Linked DNA regions of Saccharomyces cerevisiae S288C. The protein of the gene in region 1 purifies or fractionates together with the protein of each later gene. This does not show direct contact. Each region holds a gene or a part of one and is shown in the gene's direction. Other genes may lie near its edges.

Region 1 (3,920 bases):
TCAGCAAACCAACCCTTTATGTCATCCAAAGACCAGTTACTGTTGTCAAAGTATTTTTGGTAGTCTTTTGGCAGGATCTTGAGTTTTTCGTTTCTGGATTTTTTGACTAATTCTCTCAATTGATGTTCAGTAGACAGCATTGAGTACTTAATACCACGAGCATCTAAAAACATTTTCAATTTGTCCTTTGGCCAAGAGTCTAGGCCAACCAAAAAAGTATCATTGATCACATTGTCAGTCTTACCTCTGAACTTGGAGTACAAATTTGTGAGGAAATTTTTAGAAGAGTCCCAAACGGAACCAACGTATTCTGGGGTCTTGGTCAAAAATGGAGAAGACTCTCTTTTCATATAGTCCAGGTACCAGTAGATATCATCTTTCAAATTGGCAGAATTTTCTTTGGCCATTCTAACCAAATAGTCGTGTTTCTTGGCCATGTTCTTGTCAATATTGACCTTGTGGCTCTCCAACCAATTGGTTAACTGATCACTAGACCACTTGTCAAATACAGTGTCTTTTATTTGTCCCGATGTGTCTAATATTTGTTGGTGAGCCAAATCCAAGCTTTCTAGCAAACCCAGACGCTGCTGTTCTGCCTTTTCTGAAGTTCGGTAGATGTTTTCCTTGACTTTCTGAACTAGCTCGTCCTTGCTTTGAACTGCCTTGTCGTAGTCGATACCATTGTCATTCAACCAGTTTTGCAAATCTTTGGTTGACCAGCTATCAAAGTAAGAGCTAGAAGGATAGTATCCCGACGACTTCAAAGATTTGGAAATCTTGTTGAAGTTCTCCTTAGCAGTCTTCACCAGCGAGTCCTTGGAAGCCTTAGCGTCGTCAACATCCACGCCGTTTTTCTTCAAGAAGTTACGTAGACTGTCTGTGGACCAGGTGTCAAAGAGCCAGTCAGAAACTGGGTGATCCGAAGAACCAGTATAACCAAACCATCCGGGGTTACTGTTGCTCACGCTACTGCTGTCACTAGACCACACCTGCCACCATGGTTTGGGCTGCGCGTGTTTGTCCCATACCTGCGATGCCTCCGTTTTCAAGTCCTCAATGGAGTCTGTAGCGTACTTTTCCAAGCTCTTCTTATTATCACGTAAATAATCGGCCAGGTCTTCCTGCGTCCACTTGTCGAACACTGAATCTGAATTGGCCAACACTAAGCCAATAAGCACAAATGATGCGGAAACCGCATTAACCAACTTGAATTGCTTCATCTTCTTCTCTTAATTAACAGTTCTTTTGTAGTTGTCTCCTCTTCTATTGCAGATCCTCTTCTAAACTCCGGTAATCTAATCATGCTAGGAATACGACTCCATGAGTGGCTTTAAATACCCTGTCGATCCCCTTTCACCGCCTCCTTGTTTCCTCCCTCTCCCTTATTTTCCTTCAGTTCCAAAGATCCCTTATTCTTCCCCTCTAAGGTGAGGCCGGCGTAATGCTGTTGCTTACCGACGTAATGGTGGAAAAGGTGAAAAAAGTGAAAATAGTGATATTCTTAGAGAAAAACGAAAACAACAAGTCGTGTCAAGAGGTAGTGTTTTGGGAAAGACGTCATAGAGAAAGGCAGAAAGCTTGTAAAGAAGTGGAAATAAAGATTGAAGATGAACTCGTTAGCTTCAAACACACCGCTAAATGGTACTCCAGTAAGCGAGGCACCCGCCACAAGCTCCGAGCCTGTGAACATGTTCGAGACAATGGTGGCTAACCCTATTAAAGTGTCTCGATTACAGTCTAATGGAGTTCTGACGGGACCTGCAGCCAATACTAAGTCCATCCACTATTCGCTGGCCAATTTTAATGTGTTCCAGTCGCTACCCAAGGAAACGGCCAGAGGTGTAGACGATTTGACGAGGATGGAGATGGCGTTACTGAGTGGGATACCGGAGGAGATTAAGTGGTCTTTAAAAAAATATCTTACGTATAGTAACAAGGCGCCATATATGATCAGCTTACGGACATTGCCGGACCTGTTGCCACTTTTCAAGACTTTCATATTGCCTTTGGAGCGCATCGTGGAAGGTCTTAACAAATCGTCTATATGTGATTCAAAGGCGATGGATTCTCTACAAATGGGTCTAAATGCCTTGCTGATCCTAAGGAATCTGGCTCAAGATACTGATTCGGTGCAGATACTAGTCAAGGATCGAGAAATCAAATCTTTCATTCTTTTCATTTTGAAGAAGTTTCAGTGCGTCGCTACAGGCGATAACAAGTGGCAATTGTACGAAGGAAATGCAACTTTTTTTAACGAGTTGACCCATTATACTCTGGACTTGATGGAGGCCATTTCGTCCTATATTGCTCCTGCAATGAAGGATGATCATTATTTCCAAACGCTGGTGTCCATCTTGAACTACACTAAGGACAGATACATGGTTATTTCTATATTGAGGTCTCTTTCAAGATTACTGGTTAGGTCCAAAGCTAACGAGGAAAGTGCAGCGGACAATTTGGACCATAAGACTCTTTCGTTGATCGTTTCCTTTTTACTGTTAGAATGCGATAGTGAGCTGATTATTGCTTCGTTGGATTTCCTCTATCAATACATTTTGCCCGGTTCTCAAAGAATCACTGAGTTATTCAAGAGTAAGGAGTGCTCTTTGATACTGGAAGCCACGCTGCCTAATTTATTATCATATAATATCGCCACACCAGATTACCATCTTTTGCAAAAGCACAAAATTAGGTTGATTAAAAGGTTGAAGCCTCCCGCTCCAAAGGAGCCTCCCAATTTATCTGAGGATCTGTTTCAACAACTTTTCAAACTTAACGAGCCCTTGAGGTCAACCGCTTGGTTGAGATGTTGCTTTGAGCCTGTACAAGAAGCAGAATTTACACAAATATCGCTTTGGAGATCCTACGAATCCAAATTTGGTCAGCCTGTTCGCGAATCCGGACGCAAATTGTTACCTGCCGTGGAATTCATCAAGAATGTCTCGAATGCTTTCAATAACGCCGCTGCTATCGTAATCACTGACCCGGTAACCGGCAAGAAAAGGTTTGTTATCAAGGGCATTCAACCAAGATTTAAAGCTTTGGGTATTGCAGACGGGGAAAGAGAATCCCAGGTACCCATTTCGGCACTAAAATCCAAATTTTTGAATGACTCTAAGGAAATTACACCTGCAAGACAAAACAGCATACCAGAGGTCAAATTCCCTCAAGAACTCTCAGATGTTTCTAAAGTGGCCTGTACGTTTTTGTGCCTTTTATCCAACGACACGGATGATGGTGCTGGTTCCGCATTTTGTCAACGCATCAGGCCACTGGTTCTACATAAATTGGCTGATATTCCACCTTTAACATTAGCATTGTCTGAATACATGGAAAACACGTCGGGGTTATGAATGAGAAAAAAAATCGGTTGGGCTTAACTTTAAAGAAAAAAGTTGAGATTAGATTTATTGTGTTATAAATATAGATATACAATTCTTTATAAAAAAAATATATATATATATCATTGTTATTAAATAAAGAGTTTTCCTAGTATATAGATTAAAAAACTACTCTATTAAATGAGAGCTAAAAAAAGCAGGCTGCCAAAAAAATAAAGCATTTATGAAGGGGGTTCAGCAAGATGCAATCGATGGGGGAAGATTATTTTTTAACATCGTAAGATCTTCTAAATTTGTCATCGATGTTGGTCAAGTAGTAAACACCACTTTGCAAATGCTCAATGGAACCTTGAGGTTTGAAGTTCTTCTTCAAATGGGCATTTTCTCTCAATTCGATGGCAGCTTCGTAATCCTTTGGAGTTTCGGTGATTCTCTTGGCTAATTTGTTAGTAATATCTAATTCCTTGATAATATGTTGGACGTCACCAACAATTTTGCAAGAATATAGAGATGCAGCTAAACCGGAACCGTAAGAAAATAAACCAACACGCTTGCCTTGTAAGTCGTCAGATCCAACAT
Region 2 (4,738 bases), on another chromosome or scaffold:
ACTCGATGCTTTATTTCTCACGGTAGAGCGGAAGAACAGATAGGGGCAGCGTGAGAAGAGTTAGAAAGTAAATTTTTATCACGTCTGAAGTATTCTTATTCATAGGAAATTTTGCAAGGTTTTTTAGCTCAATAACGGGCTAAGTTATATAAGGTGTTCACGCGATTTTCTTGTTATGTATACCTCTTCTCTGAGGAATGGTACTACTGTCCTGATGTAGGCTCCTTAAATTGGTGGGCAAGAATAACTTATCGATATTTTGTATATTGGTCTTGGAGTTCACCACGTAATGCCTGTTTAAGACCATCAGTTAACTCTAGTATTATTTGGTCTTGGCTACTGGCCGTTTGCTATTATTCAAGTCTTTTGTGCCTTCCCGTCGGGTAAGGGAGTTATTTAGGGATACAGAATCTAACGAAAACTAAATCTCAATGATTAACTCCATTTAATCCTTTTTTGAAAGGCAAAAGAGGTCCCTTGTTCACTTACAACGTTCTTAGCCAAATTCGCTTATCACTTACTACTTCACGATATACAGAAGTAAAAACATATAAAAAGATGTCTGTTTGTTTAGCCATCACAAAAGGTATCGCAGTTTCTTCTATAGGCCTCTACTCTGGTCTTTTGGCTTCCGCTTCATTGATTACATCTACTACTCCACTAGAGGTTTTAACAGGATCCCTTACTCCCACTTTAACCACTTTGAAAAATGCGGCCACCGCCTTGGGAGCGTTTGCGTCAACTTTCTTTTGTGTGAGCTTTTTCGGCGCTCCTCCCTCATTGAGACACCCCTACTTACTCTATGGTATGCTTGTAGCTCCATTATCTTCATTTGTTCTAGGATGTGCCTCCAACTATCAGTCTAGAAAGTACAGTAAAGTCTCTAAGGAATCTTCTTTATTTCCCGAAGACAGCAAACTCGCTGCTTCCGAACTGAGCGATTCTATTATTGATTTAGGTGAAGACAACCATGCTTCAGAAAATACACCTCGAGACGGGAAGCCTGCAGCAACCACAGTATCAAAGCCGGCAGAGGCATTGCACACCGGTCCCCCAATCCATACTAAAAATCTAATTGCAGCAACTGCTATTGCTATTGTTGGCTTTGTACAAGCCGTTATTGGCGTTTATGGGGAAGGACAATTTATCTAGTGTTTCTCGTTCACGTATTTATCTCTACAAGAATTTGTAGCTGCCTGAACTCGGCTCCTCTCTCTCTCCAAAAATAAAGTGTGTAGTAATTTGCAGTTTTTTTATATATTCCTACGAGTTTTCAAACGTTCAAAAGACAGTATGTTCAAAAATTGTGCATACACACACGTATGCACATATATACATAATAATACACTGTAATAAGCACATTTGTAGGTGCTCTTGCACTTGGTTTATTACTGTCACTGACTTTTCTCACCCGGCCGAGAGTCGTGCGAAAATTCGCATGTTAAAGTGAGAAAATAGAGAAAACAACACAGCTGAAAAAAGTATTGGTAACAGTTCAATACGTGATCAAATATACAGCACGTCGCGCAGAACCAGACGAAGCGGAGAATATTCTACATTGACAGTGCATGATGCCTGATGACAATTCAAACTCGTCCACTCAAAACTCAAGCGCATTATACAAGGACCTGAGGAAAGAATATGAATCTCTTTTCACTTTAAAGGAAGATTCTGGGTTAGAGATTTCACCAATATTCAATGTCCTTCCACCTAAAAAGGATTATCCTGACTACTACGCAGTGATCAAGAACCCTGTATCTTTCAATACTTTAAAAAAGCGTATTCCACATTATACAGATGCTCAACAGTTTATGAACGATGTTGTCCAGATTCCATGGAATGCCAAGACTTACAATACAAGAGATTCAGGAATTTATAAATACGCCTTAGTCCTTGAGAAATATTTAAAGGACACAATCTATCCAAATTTAAAAGAAAAATATCCTCAATTAGTGTATCCTGATTTGGGTCCTCTACCCGATGAACCAGGTTATGAAGAGTTTCAACAGAAATTAAGAGAAAAAGCTGAGGAAGTAGCGAGAGCTAATGCAGCCAGAGCCGAGTCGAGCTCTTCAATGAATTCAACAGAAGCAGCCAGAAGATTAAGAAAGACTCGTACTTCCGTCAAAAGAGAATCAGAACCAGGAACCGATACAAATAATGATGAGGACTATGAGGCGACGGATATGGATATCGATAACCCTAAGGATGCTGATTTTCCTGATTTGATAAGAAAGCCACTAATAAATATTAATCCATATACTCGGAAACCATTAAGAGACAACAGGTCCACTACTCCATCTCACTCAGGCACCCCTCAGCCGTTAGGCCCAAGGCATAGACAGGTATCCAGAACTCAGGTAAAGCGTGGGAGACCCCCAATCATCGACTTACCGTATATTCAAAGAATGAAAAATGTTATGAAAGTACTAAAAAAAGAGGTGCTAGATAGTGGAATTGGTCTAACTGATCTTTTTGAAAGATTGCCCGATAGACACAGAGATGCAAATTACTACATCATGATTGCTAATCCAATTAGTCTTCAAGACATAAATAAAAAGGTAAAGACTCGTCGTTATAAAACGTTCCAGGAGTTCCAGAATGATTTTAATCTTATGTTAACCAACTTTAGAATTTCGCACAGAGGTGATCCTGAAAGCATAAAAATTTCAAATATCTTAGAAAAGACCTTTACTAGTCTGGCAAGATTCGAACTATCCAAACCTGATAGAAGTTTCATTCCAGAAGGCGAGCTAAGATACCCTCTAGATGAAGTCATTGTAAATAATATATCATACCACGTGGGAGATTGGGCACTTCTTCGAAATCAAAATGATCCTCAAAAACCTATAGTGGGCCAAATATTCAGGCTATGGAAGACACCAGATGGGAAACAATGGTTAAACGCTTGTTGGTATTACAGACCCGAACAAACTGTGCATAGAGTGGATAGATTGTTTTACAAAAACGAAGTTATGAAAACAGGTCAGTACCGTGATCATTTAGTGTCAAACTTAGTTGGGAAATGCTATGTGATTCACTTTACTAGATATCAACGTGGTAATCCCGATATGAAATTGGAGGGTCCCTTGTTCGTTTGCGAATTCCGTTATAATGAATCCGATAAAATTTTTAACAAGATTAGAACCTGGAAGGCTTGCTTACCAGAGGAAATTCGTGATTTGGACGAAGCTACCATTCCGGTAAATGGTAGAAAGTTCTTCAAATATCCTTCCCCCATAAGACATCTACTACCAGCTAATGCAACGCCGCATGATCGCGTTCCTGAACCAACGATGGGATCCCCGGACGCGCCACCATTGGTCGGTGCCGTTTATATGAGACCTAAAATGCAGCGTGACGATTTGGGGGAATATGCAACCTCTGATGACTGTCCCAGGTATATTATCAGACCCAACGATTCTCCCGAAGAGGGACAAGTGGATATAGAAACAGGTACGATCACCACAAACACGCCAACAGCAAATGCTCTTCCTAAAACAGGATACTCAAGTAGTAAACTATCCAGTTTAAGATATAACAGGTCATCTATGTCTTTAGAAAACCAAAATGCTATTGGCCAGCAACAAATACCACTGTCAAGAGTTGGTTCCCCTGGCGCGGGAGGCCCGCTTACTGTACAAGGTTTAAAGCAACACCAATTGCAAAGGTTACAACAGCAGCAACATCAATACCAACAACAGAAAAGATCCCAAGCATCACGTTATAATATCCCAACAATAATCGATGATTTAACATCGCAGGCATCAAGAGGTAATTTGGGTAATATAATGATCGATGCAGCCTCCTCGTTTGTCTTACCTATCTCTATAACCAAAAACGTAGATGTTTTGCAGCGTACTGATCTGCACAGCCAAACCAAGAGATCTGGAAGAGAAGAGATGTTTCCATGGAAAAAAACAAAGGGTGAAATATTATGGTTCAGAGGACCTAGTGTGATAGTAAATGAACGAATAATAAATTCAGGTGACCCACACCTAAGCCTGCCACTGAATAGGTGGTTTACCACTAACAAGAAAAGAAAACTAGAATACGAAGAAGTTGAAGAAACCATGGAAGATGTGACTGGAAAGGACAAAGATGATGATGGCTTAGAACCGGATGTTGAAAATGAGAAAGAGTCCTTGCCAGGCCCATTTGTCCTTGGATTAAGACCCTCGGCTAAGTTCACGGCGCACAGACTCTCTATGCTGCGGCCTCCTTCGTCGTCTTCATGATCACCTTTATTGTAAAAGCAATGGCAGCATAATATCTTCCCATTGCGCATTACCCTCCGCGAGCAGAGTCAAACTTCAAACAAAGCAGGAAAATGAAATAAAACAGAAGTTATTATATAGAAGAAAGTCATCTATAGATATATTATCGTTGTATTAATAGTAGCCATATAAAACAATTATACTTCATCACCAACCTCTCAAAATTTCTTCCCCAAGGACCAAAGCTTTTCCAGTAAGTTGCTACAACTAAAGTGAAATAAACTATCCGAATTATATAAAAGATGCCTGACTATGACAATTACACTACGCCATTGTCTTCTAGATATGCCTCCAAGGAAATGTCAGCAACGTTTTCTTTGAGAAACAGATTTTCCACATGGAGAAAACTATGGTTAAATTTGGCTATTGCTGAGAAGGAATTGGGCTTAACTGTTGTTACAGATGAAGCAATTGAGCAAATGCGCAAACACGTCGAAATCACTGATGATGAAATCGCAAAA
Region 3 (3,458 bases), on another chromosome or scaffold:
AAATATTCTTTCCTGTCCATGTAACAACGTTTAGGAATTCGTCAATGAGAATTAAATAAGGGTACAATTTCACCAACGCCTTTGAGATTGTGGGCGGTGTTGATGTCAAAAGCGGCGAAGTAGCTACGTTAACTTTCTCCAATGACCCGTTATCATTATCCTCAGACACCCCGCTTTCAGCTTCGTTCTTTTCCAAAGCAGCTCGTATCACTTTTGTAGTATTGCCACCAATCCTCGGTTGCAGCGTCTCTGCAAACTTGGCTCTAGTCTCATGCACGTTAGTTGTGTTACCACTCATTGAAAATCAGTTTTTACACTCCGGAGGATCAACTAGACAGCTCGAATCCTAAATTGCAACCTTGCATGCCCACTTTACCTCAGTAGCGAACGTATCCAAGTATATATTTTGTGAAGCTGATCCAAAAACCCTTTAGTCCTCTTCCCGCTTCTTTCCGTGCAACCGGAGAATAATAAGAAAAAGCCATGCGCATCTCTATCTGAAGTGGACTCAAGCTAAAGCCATCGAAAGCTCCATCACTTAATCAAAGCTCCAGGTATTCATGTTCAGAAAGAGATTAGTGAACAAAAGCTCTTCTGATGAAAAGAACCAGAAAAAGAGGCAGAAAATTAATTTTAGCGAAGAGAAACTAGTGGCCAGCGATGAAGAAAAGGGTTCCAGTGACCTCATGAGCTTAGCCAAGAGTGGAAATAGCAGGACACTTCAACTTTCACATGAGAATGAAGGTAAACTACAGAAAAAGGGTGAGGATTTAGATAAATACACTTTAACGGTCAACGACGACAGCACTAAAGAAGATCTTCTAAACTTTGAGAGAAAAGAGCTGGCTGAGAAGGCAAAGAAGAGGCGACCTAGTGATGACAATGAGCTGGTACTGAACATGAGCGGTAAAAATAAACGCCTCACTAAACAGATTAACCAACCAACGAATATCCGGACCACGGTGCTGATGGATTTTCAGCCCGACGTTTGCAAAGATTACAAACAGACGGGATACTGTGGTTACGGAGATAGCTGCAAGTTCTTACACTCGAGGGATGATTTCAAGACTGGCTGGAAGCTGAACCAAGAATGGAATGCGGATAAAGAGGACTCCAAAGCGGTTACTCTAGACTTGGAAAAGATACCGTTCAAGTGCACTCTTTGTAAGGAAGATTACAAGTCTCCAGTGGTCACAAACTGTGGCCATTATTTTTGTGGATCGTGTTTTGCCAAAGATATGAAAAAGGGCACCAAATGCTTTATATGCCACAAGGAGACCCACGGCAGTGCAAAAGTAGCATCTGACTTACAGAAGATGCTAAATAAAAGGAAAAGTTGATGGAGAATGCCATATCACCCCAAAAATTACACGCACCCGATGCTAATGTACAGGAATTATAGAGCACATGACCCATAGATTTATCGAGCATTGTTGCAATTTCGAAAGACTCTTTCACATAATAAAGTATGTAAACTATATAGATAGAAGATGTCCCGTGTCTTTTTGTCTACTAAATGATGATCTGCTCATTTAAAGTCGCCGCGACTACTTTGACAAAAAAAAAAAACTTAGAAAATACGACAAATAGAGATTATTGAATGAAGTACATTGAAAAAAGAAAGAAGAAAGGCACATAGCAGCACACAATGTCGCACCAAAACCAGCTTATTCCACAAGCTTATATTTCTAACTTTCATAACAGATTGACAAACGAAGATGATGGTATCCCCATCTTTACAATGGCTCAACAAACAAGGCAGCATAAAAGGGCTAAAGTGGTCAACTATGCGGAATATGACAACGATCTCTTTGATGAATTCAATATGAACGGTTCTAATTTCAACAATGCTGATACACACTATAAAGATAATGCAGTGTCTCATGAAAATACTCCGGCACTTACAAATGGTGTTACCATGGACGGTTCCGAATACAATGTCCTAGAGAACATGAATGGAGCTGATAGTATTATCTCTAACAACAAATACGATGCGGGTTCAAACATGGTTGTGGAATCTTTATCCGGTTTGAATAGCAATAACAACGCCAGCAATGGTCCGAGCAACAAAGCGCAGGCACAGGATATTGGAAACGCCGTTCTACCGGATCTGCAAGACCAACACCACAACCCCTTCAACATATTGAGATACCCTAAAATAAGAGATACTTTCATTAACGGAAAAGTGGTGTCTCCATATAGACTCAACACTGATCAAGAAACGAAGGCAAACGCCAATTCTGGAGAGGCAATCATGATACCAATTACTTTGGATATAGAACATATGGGTCATACCATAAAAGACCAGTTTCTCTGGAACTACAATGACGACTCCATATCTCCGGAGGAATTTGCCTCTATATACTGTAAAGATCTTGATATGACTTCCGCTACCTTACAAACTCAAATTGCGAATATAATAAAAGAGCAGTTGAAAGACCTCGAAAATATTGCAGCCACTGAGATAATGTCTGACCTCCACGTGATAATCAACCTAACCTGCAACTTACAAGACAGATTTTTTGAAGATAACTTCCAGTGGAACTTGAACGACAAATCACTTACTCCAGAAAGATTTGCTACATCCATTGTACAGGACCTTGGCTTAACAAGAGAGTTCATCCCCTTAATATCTCAATCGCTTCATGAAACTATCTTGAAGATAAAGAAGGACTGGGTAGATGGCCACTTGATTCAGGACCATGTCCCAAACGATGCCGCATTTGGGTACTTATCTGGTATAAGGCTGGATATTGATGAACTGGGCTCCAATTGGTGCCCAAGGGTGGAAATATTAACAAAAGAAGAAATACAAAAGAGAGAAATTGAAAAAGAAAGAAACTTAAGAAGATTGAAAAGAGAAACTGATAGATTATCTAGAAGGGGCAGGAGAAGATTAGATGACTTAGAAACCACAATGAGAATGTAGTAACTTTGCTTTTCTTGTTACAGAATTGTATTATTATAAGTATTATTAATCAAACGGGAAGGACAAAAAATTTAACAAACGCAGAAGCAACTAAATCAAGACTAAAGAGAACGTAAAAAAAGTCATGCACTTCTTTGAGATACACGTTACCAAAAGAATACAAAATGTTTATCACCAACACTGATAGATCTTGTTTCTATTTGGACTAATTCGCAATTTGACATATATGACATATATTACGGAGAATTTTTAAATATGCTTATATTACATGTGTATAATTTACGTATTCTTGAAGGTTTTGAAAGGTTCAGACGCCTCAATTTTTCCTATATTACTTTCTATTATCTTTATTACAATCGCAGATAGCGAACTTTGCAAAGTAGTATGAGGAATCTGATTAGGTATGTTCATATTACTATCAAGCATCCTTAGCTGCAAAAGTTTGTCATGCTCCCAAAACCCATCTGCGATTCTCAACACAGATACCAAAAACGCATCTTTTGCGGCGATCAAATCACTATTACTATTA
Region 4 (3,552 bases), 430 kb from region 1:
GAAGGTCGTGATAACTTTGGTGTTTTCATATCCTGGGATTCTGGTAATTCCTTAGGTGAAGTTTCAGGTCACTCACAACGCATCAATGCTTGTCATTTGAAGCAATCTAGACCTATGAGATCTATGACAGTTGGAGATGATGGATCTGTTGTCTTTTATCAAGGACCTCCATTTAAGTTCTCTGCCAGTGACAGAACACACCACAAACAAGGCTCATTTGTCAGGGATGTTGAATTTTCACCTGACAGCGGTGAATTTGTTATTACGGTAGGGTCTGACAGAAAGATTTCTTGCTTTGATGGCAAATCAGGTGAGTTTCTTAAATACATAGAGGATGATCAAGAACCAGTTCAAGGTGGTATATTTGCACTATCGTGGCTTGATTCCCAAAAGTTTGCTACCGTAGGAGCAGACGCTACCATTAGGGTTTGGGACGTCACGACTTCAAAATGCGTTCAAAAATGGACCTTAGACAAGCAACAACTGGGAAATCAACAAGTTGGTGTTGTTGCAACAGGAAACGGAAGGATTATTTCTCTTTCACTGGATGGGACCTTAAACTTCTATGAACTTGGACATGACGAGGTTTTAAAAACCATTAGTGGTCATAACAAGGGTATTACTGCTTTGACAGTCAACCCACTAATCAGTGGGTCATATGATGGTAGGATTATGGAATGGTCTAGCTCTTCCATGCACCAAGATCACTCCAACTTGATTGTATCATTGGATAATAGTAAAGCGCAAGAATACTCCAGTATTTCTTGGGATGATACTTTGAAAGTGAACGGTATTACTAAGCATGAATTTGGATCGCAACCAAAGGTTGCTAGTGCGAACAATGATGGCTTCACTGCAGTACTAACAAATGATGATGATTTGTTGATATTACAGTCTTTTACGGGCGATATAATCAAGAGTGTAAGACTGAACTCACCAGGCTCTGCCGTTAGCTTGAGCCAAAATTACGTTGCAGTTGGTTTGGAAGAAGGTAATACTATTCAGGTATTCAAATTATCAGATTTGGAAGTCAGTTTTGATTTAAAAACACCTCTTCGCGCAAAACCCTCGTACATATCAATTTCGCCATCTGAAACATACATCGCTGCTGGAGATGTTATGGGCAAGATATTGCTATATGATTTACAATCAAGAGAAGTGAAAACTTCAAGATGGGCTTTCCACACCAGTAAAATCAACGCCATTTCATGGAAACCTGCTGAAAAGGGAGCAAACGAAGAGGAAATTGAAGAGGACTTAGTTGCCACTGGTTCTTTAGACACCAATATTTTTATTTACTCCGTCAAAAGACCTATGAAAATCATTAAGGCGTTGAATGCTCACAAGGACGGTGTTAACAACCTTTTATGGGAAACACCATCTACCTTGGTTAGTTCTGGTGCGGACGCTTGCATTAAAAGGTGGAATGTTGTCCTCGAGTGAGATAAGAATATAAAGTAAACAATTACGTAACCTTAGAAAAATAGATATAAAAAAGTTTTACACTGTTTTTACCACAGTCCATATAAACTTGTAATTATTACCCGAATGCTTTGATTACTTCGCTCTTTTAAAAAAAAACCCGTTCGAACTATTAAACATGTTACTGTGAGCAGACAAAAATATTGCAAGAAAACAGCTTTATAAAGTTTAAGCATTACTGAATACAGTACATTTACTTTTGAAGAAGGAAATACCATCTAGCAGAAATGTCAGATTCAGAGGGAGGTCTAGCTTCCGAAGTTGAACATGAGAAGCGGTCAAGATCTACTAGCAACAGACCCAATTATGCAATTGATACTGAGGATTTAGATATTGATGAAAATGATGAGAATGAAGATGATGATTACAGAGAAGAAGAAGCCAATGAGGGAGTGAATGAAGAAGAAATAAGTGATGAGGAGGAACAGATAAATAAAAGCGGAAGAAACAAAAGGAGGCACGTGGACGAAGAAGAGGATTTGTCAGAGGATAAAGGCGTTACTAGATCTAGAAACCGTTCAAAGTTCAAAAAACCAGTATTTCCCGGAATCGATGATGCTGAGGAGAACTTAAATCCTTTGAAAGTGGTCAATGAAGAATATGTTCTACCAGATGATCCTGAAGGTGAGACGAAGATAACTGCAGATGGTGATCTATTAGGAGGCAGAGAATTTTTAGTGCGCACCTTCACATTAACTGAGAAGGGGAATCGAAAGTTTATGCTGGCCACCGAACCGGCTAGGATAGTGGGTTTTAGAGATTCATATTTATTTTTTCAAACTCACCCCAACCTTTATAAGTTCATTCTGAATCAAACTCAAAAGAACGACTTGATAGACCGTGGCGTTTTACCTTATTCATATAGAAATAGACAAATCGCTCTAGTCACCGCTAGAGGCGTGTTTAAAGAATTTGGTGCTAAAATCATTCGTGGCGGCAAACATATAACCGATGATTATTATGCTTCTGAATTAAGAACAAAGGGAAATGTAATTGAAGGAAAACTTGCTGGTGATCCTATTGATAAATCCGCAAGGGCCTTAGAAACCATGATGTATCCTGCTTCCGAGAATGGCATAAACCCTGCAAAAAACCAGGTGGAATTCTTTGAACACAGGCCACATGGTCACATGAGTAATTCTAATATTATTGCATCAGGTAGTAAGCTGAGCTCTACAAATTGGCTCTATCAGCATTCTGCTGCGTGTAGTAGATTTAATAGCGATTTGTTTTATGATAGAGTGAAGGTTCTTCTTGTAGATCAACAAGGCTTGAGAGATGCATACACAAATATATTACACATACCAGAATCCACACAGTCAACCACTGTTTTAGGATGGAGGAGATCAAAAAACGATAGTCCCAGCGACACAAGCATTGTGTATGAGACCGTTATACACGATAACGATTTGAATAAACCGAAAACGGGACTGTCGGAAATCCCGAAAGAGATCTATGAAGACGTTGTTGATGAAGACGTTTTAAGGGCTATCACCGAACAACAAAATTTCGAAAAATGCAACGAATATATTTAGTATACTCAATGTAACAATATAACAAATTTTTATCTTCAAATCAAGGTAAAAAAATTCATATATTCTCACTTTCTTTTTCTTTTCTTGACTATTCATCTACATATGCATTTCACGCGTAAATAGGTTGATCTACAAACTTTGAATGAATTTTTCCATTGGCTCGTTGCCATTTACCAACGAAATGGTTTTTTTCACTGTTGCATTTGGATGTAGCAAGCTTTCCACAATAAAAGAAGCTACATCCTCCCTGTTAATGGAGTAGTTAACAGAAGCCTTCTCTTCTAATTTGTCAAGGGGTTGCAAAAGACCGGTACCTTTATTTAGTTCCAACGATCCAGGCTGTAAAATAGTGTAATCCAAATTAGAGTTTCTAACCTCACGATCAGCAGATCTCTTTGCAATATAGTATTCACGCAAACCCTTAATGTTATACCAAAAATCTCTATCCTCCGCCTTGAGCGCTGAAACAACAACGAACCTTTTGATACCAGCCTTTTCGCATGCTTCAACAACTTTGATACAGCCATCCAGATCA

Evidence for each region.
Region 2: the proteins of RSC9 (region 1) and RSC2 purify together in Saccharomyces cerevisiae (affinity purification with mass spectrometry; 13 studies listed by BioGRID, with this or other methods). This does not show direct contact.
Region 3: the proteins of RSC9 (region 1) and SFH1 purify together in Saccharomyces cerevisiae (affinity purification with mass spectrometry; 5 studies listed by BioGRID). This does not show direct contact.
Region 4: the proteins of RSC9 (region 1) and NPL6 purify together in Saccharomyces cerevisiae (affinity purification with mass spectrometry; 6 studies listed by BioGRID). This does not show direct contact.

The regions. Positions count from the first base shown.
Region 1 is NC_001145.3:15,457-19,376, forward strand, and holds RSC9 (Rsc9p), read left to right. Parts: upstream 1-1,607; coding exon 1,608-3,353; downstream 3,354-3,920. Other genes in the region: double-strand break repair enhancer MSC1, read right to left, coding at 1-1,220; ERG13 (hydroxymethylglutaryl-CoA synthase), read right to left, coding at 3,604-3,920.
Region 2 is NC_001144.5:839,763-844,500, forward strand, and holds RSC2 (Rsc2p), read left to right. Parts: upstream 1-1,568; coding exon 1,569-4,238; downstream 4,239-4,738. Other genes in the region: ATG33 (Atg33p), read left to right, coding at 559-1,152; YLR358C (uncharacterized protein), read right to left, coding at 3,725-4,288; adenylosuccinase ADE13, read left to right, coding at 4,520-4,738. UniProt on the Saccharomyces cerevisiae protein: Component of the chromatin structure remodeling complex (RSC), which is involved in transcription regulation and nucleosome positioning. RSC is responsible for the transfer of a histone octamer from a nucleosome core particle to naked DNA.
Region 3 is NC_001144.5:776,055-779,512, reverse strand, and holds SFH1 (Sfh1p), read left to right. Parts: upstream 1-1,648; coding exon 1,649-2,929; downstream 2,930-3,458. Other genes in the region: PEX30 (peroxisome biogenesis protein), read right to left, coding at 1-298; U2-type spliceosomal complex subunit CWC24, read left to right, coding at 561-1,340; MMS22 (Mms22p), read right to left, coding at 3,209-3,458. UniProt on the Saccharomyces cerevisiae protein: Component of the chromatin structure-remodeling complex (RSC), which is involved in transcription regulation and nucleosome positioning. RSC is responsible for the transfer of a histone octamer from a nucleosome core particle to naked DNA.
Region 4 is NC_001145.3:449,523-453,074, reverse strand, and holds NPL6 (Npl6p), read left to right. Parts: upstream 1-1,709; coding exon 1,710-3,017; downstream 3,018-3,552. Other genes in the region: AIP1 (Aip1p), read left to right, coding at 1-1,443; YMR090W (uncharacterized protein), read right to left, coding at 3,147-3,552. UniProt on the Saccharomyces cerevisiae protein: Component of the chromatin structure remodeling complex (RSC), which is involved in transcription regulation and nucleosome positioning. RSC is responsible for the transfer of a histone octamer from a nucleosome core particle to naked DNA.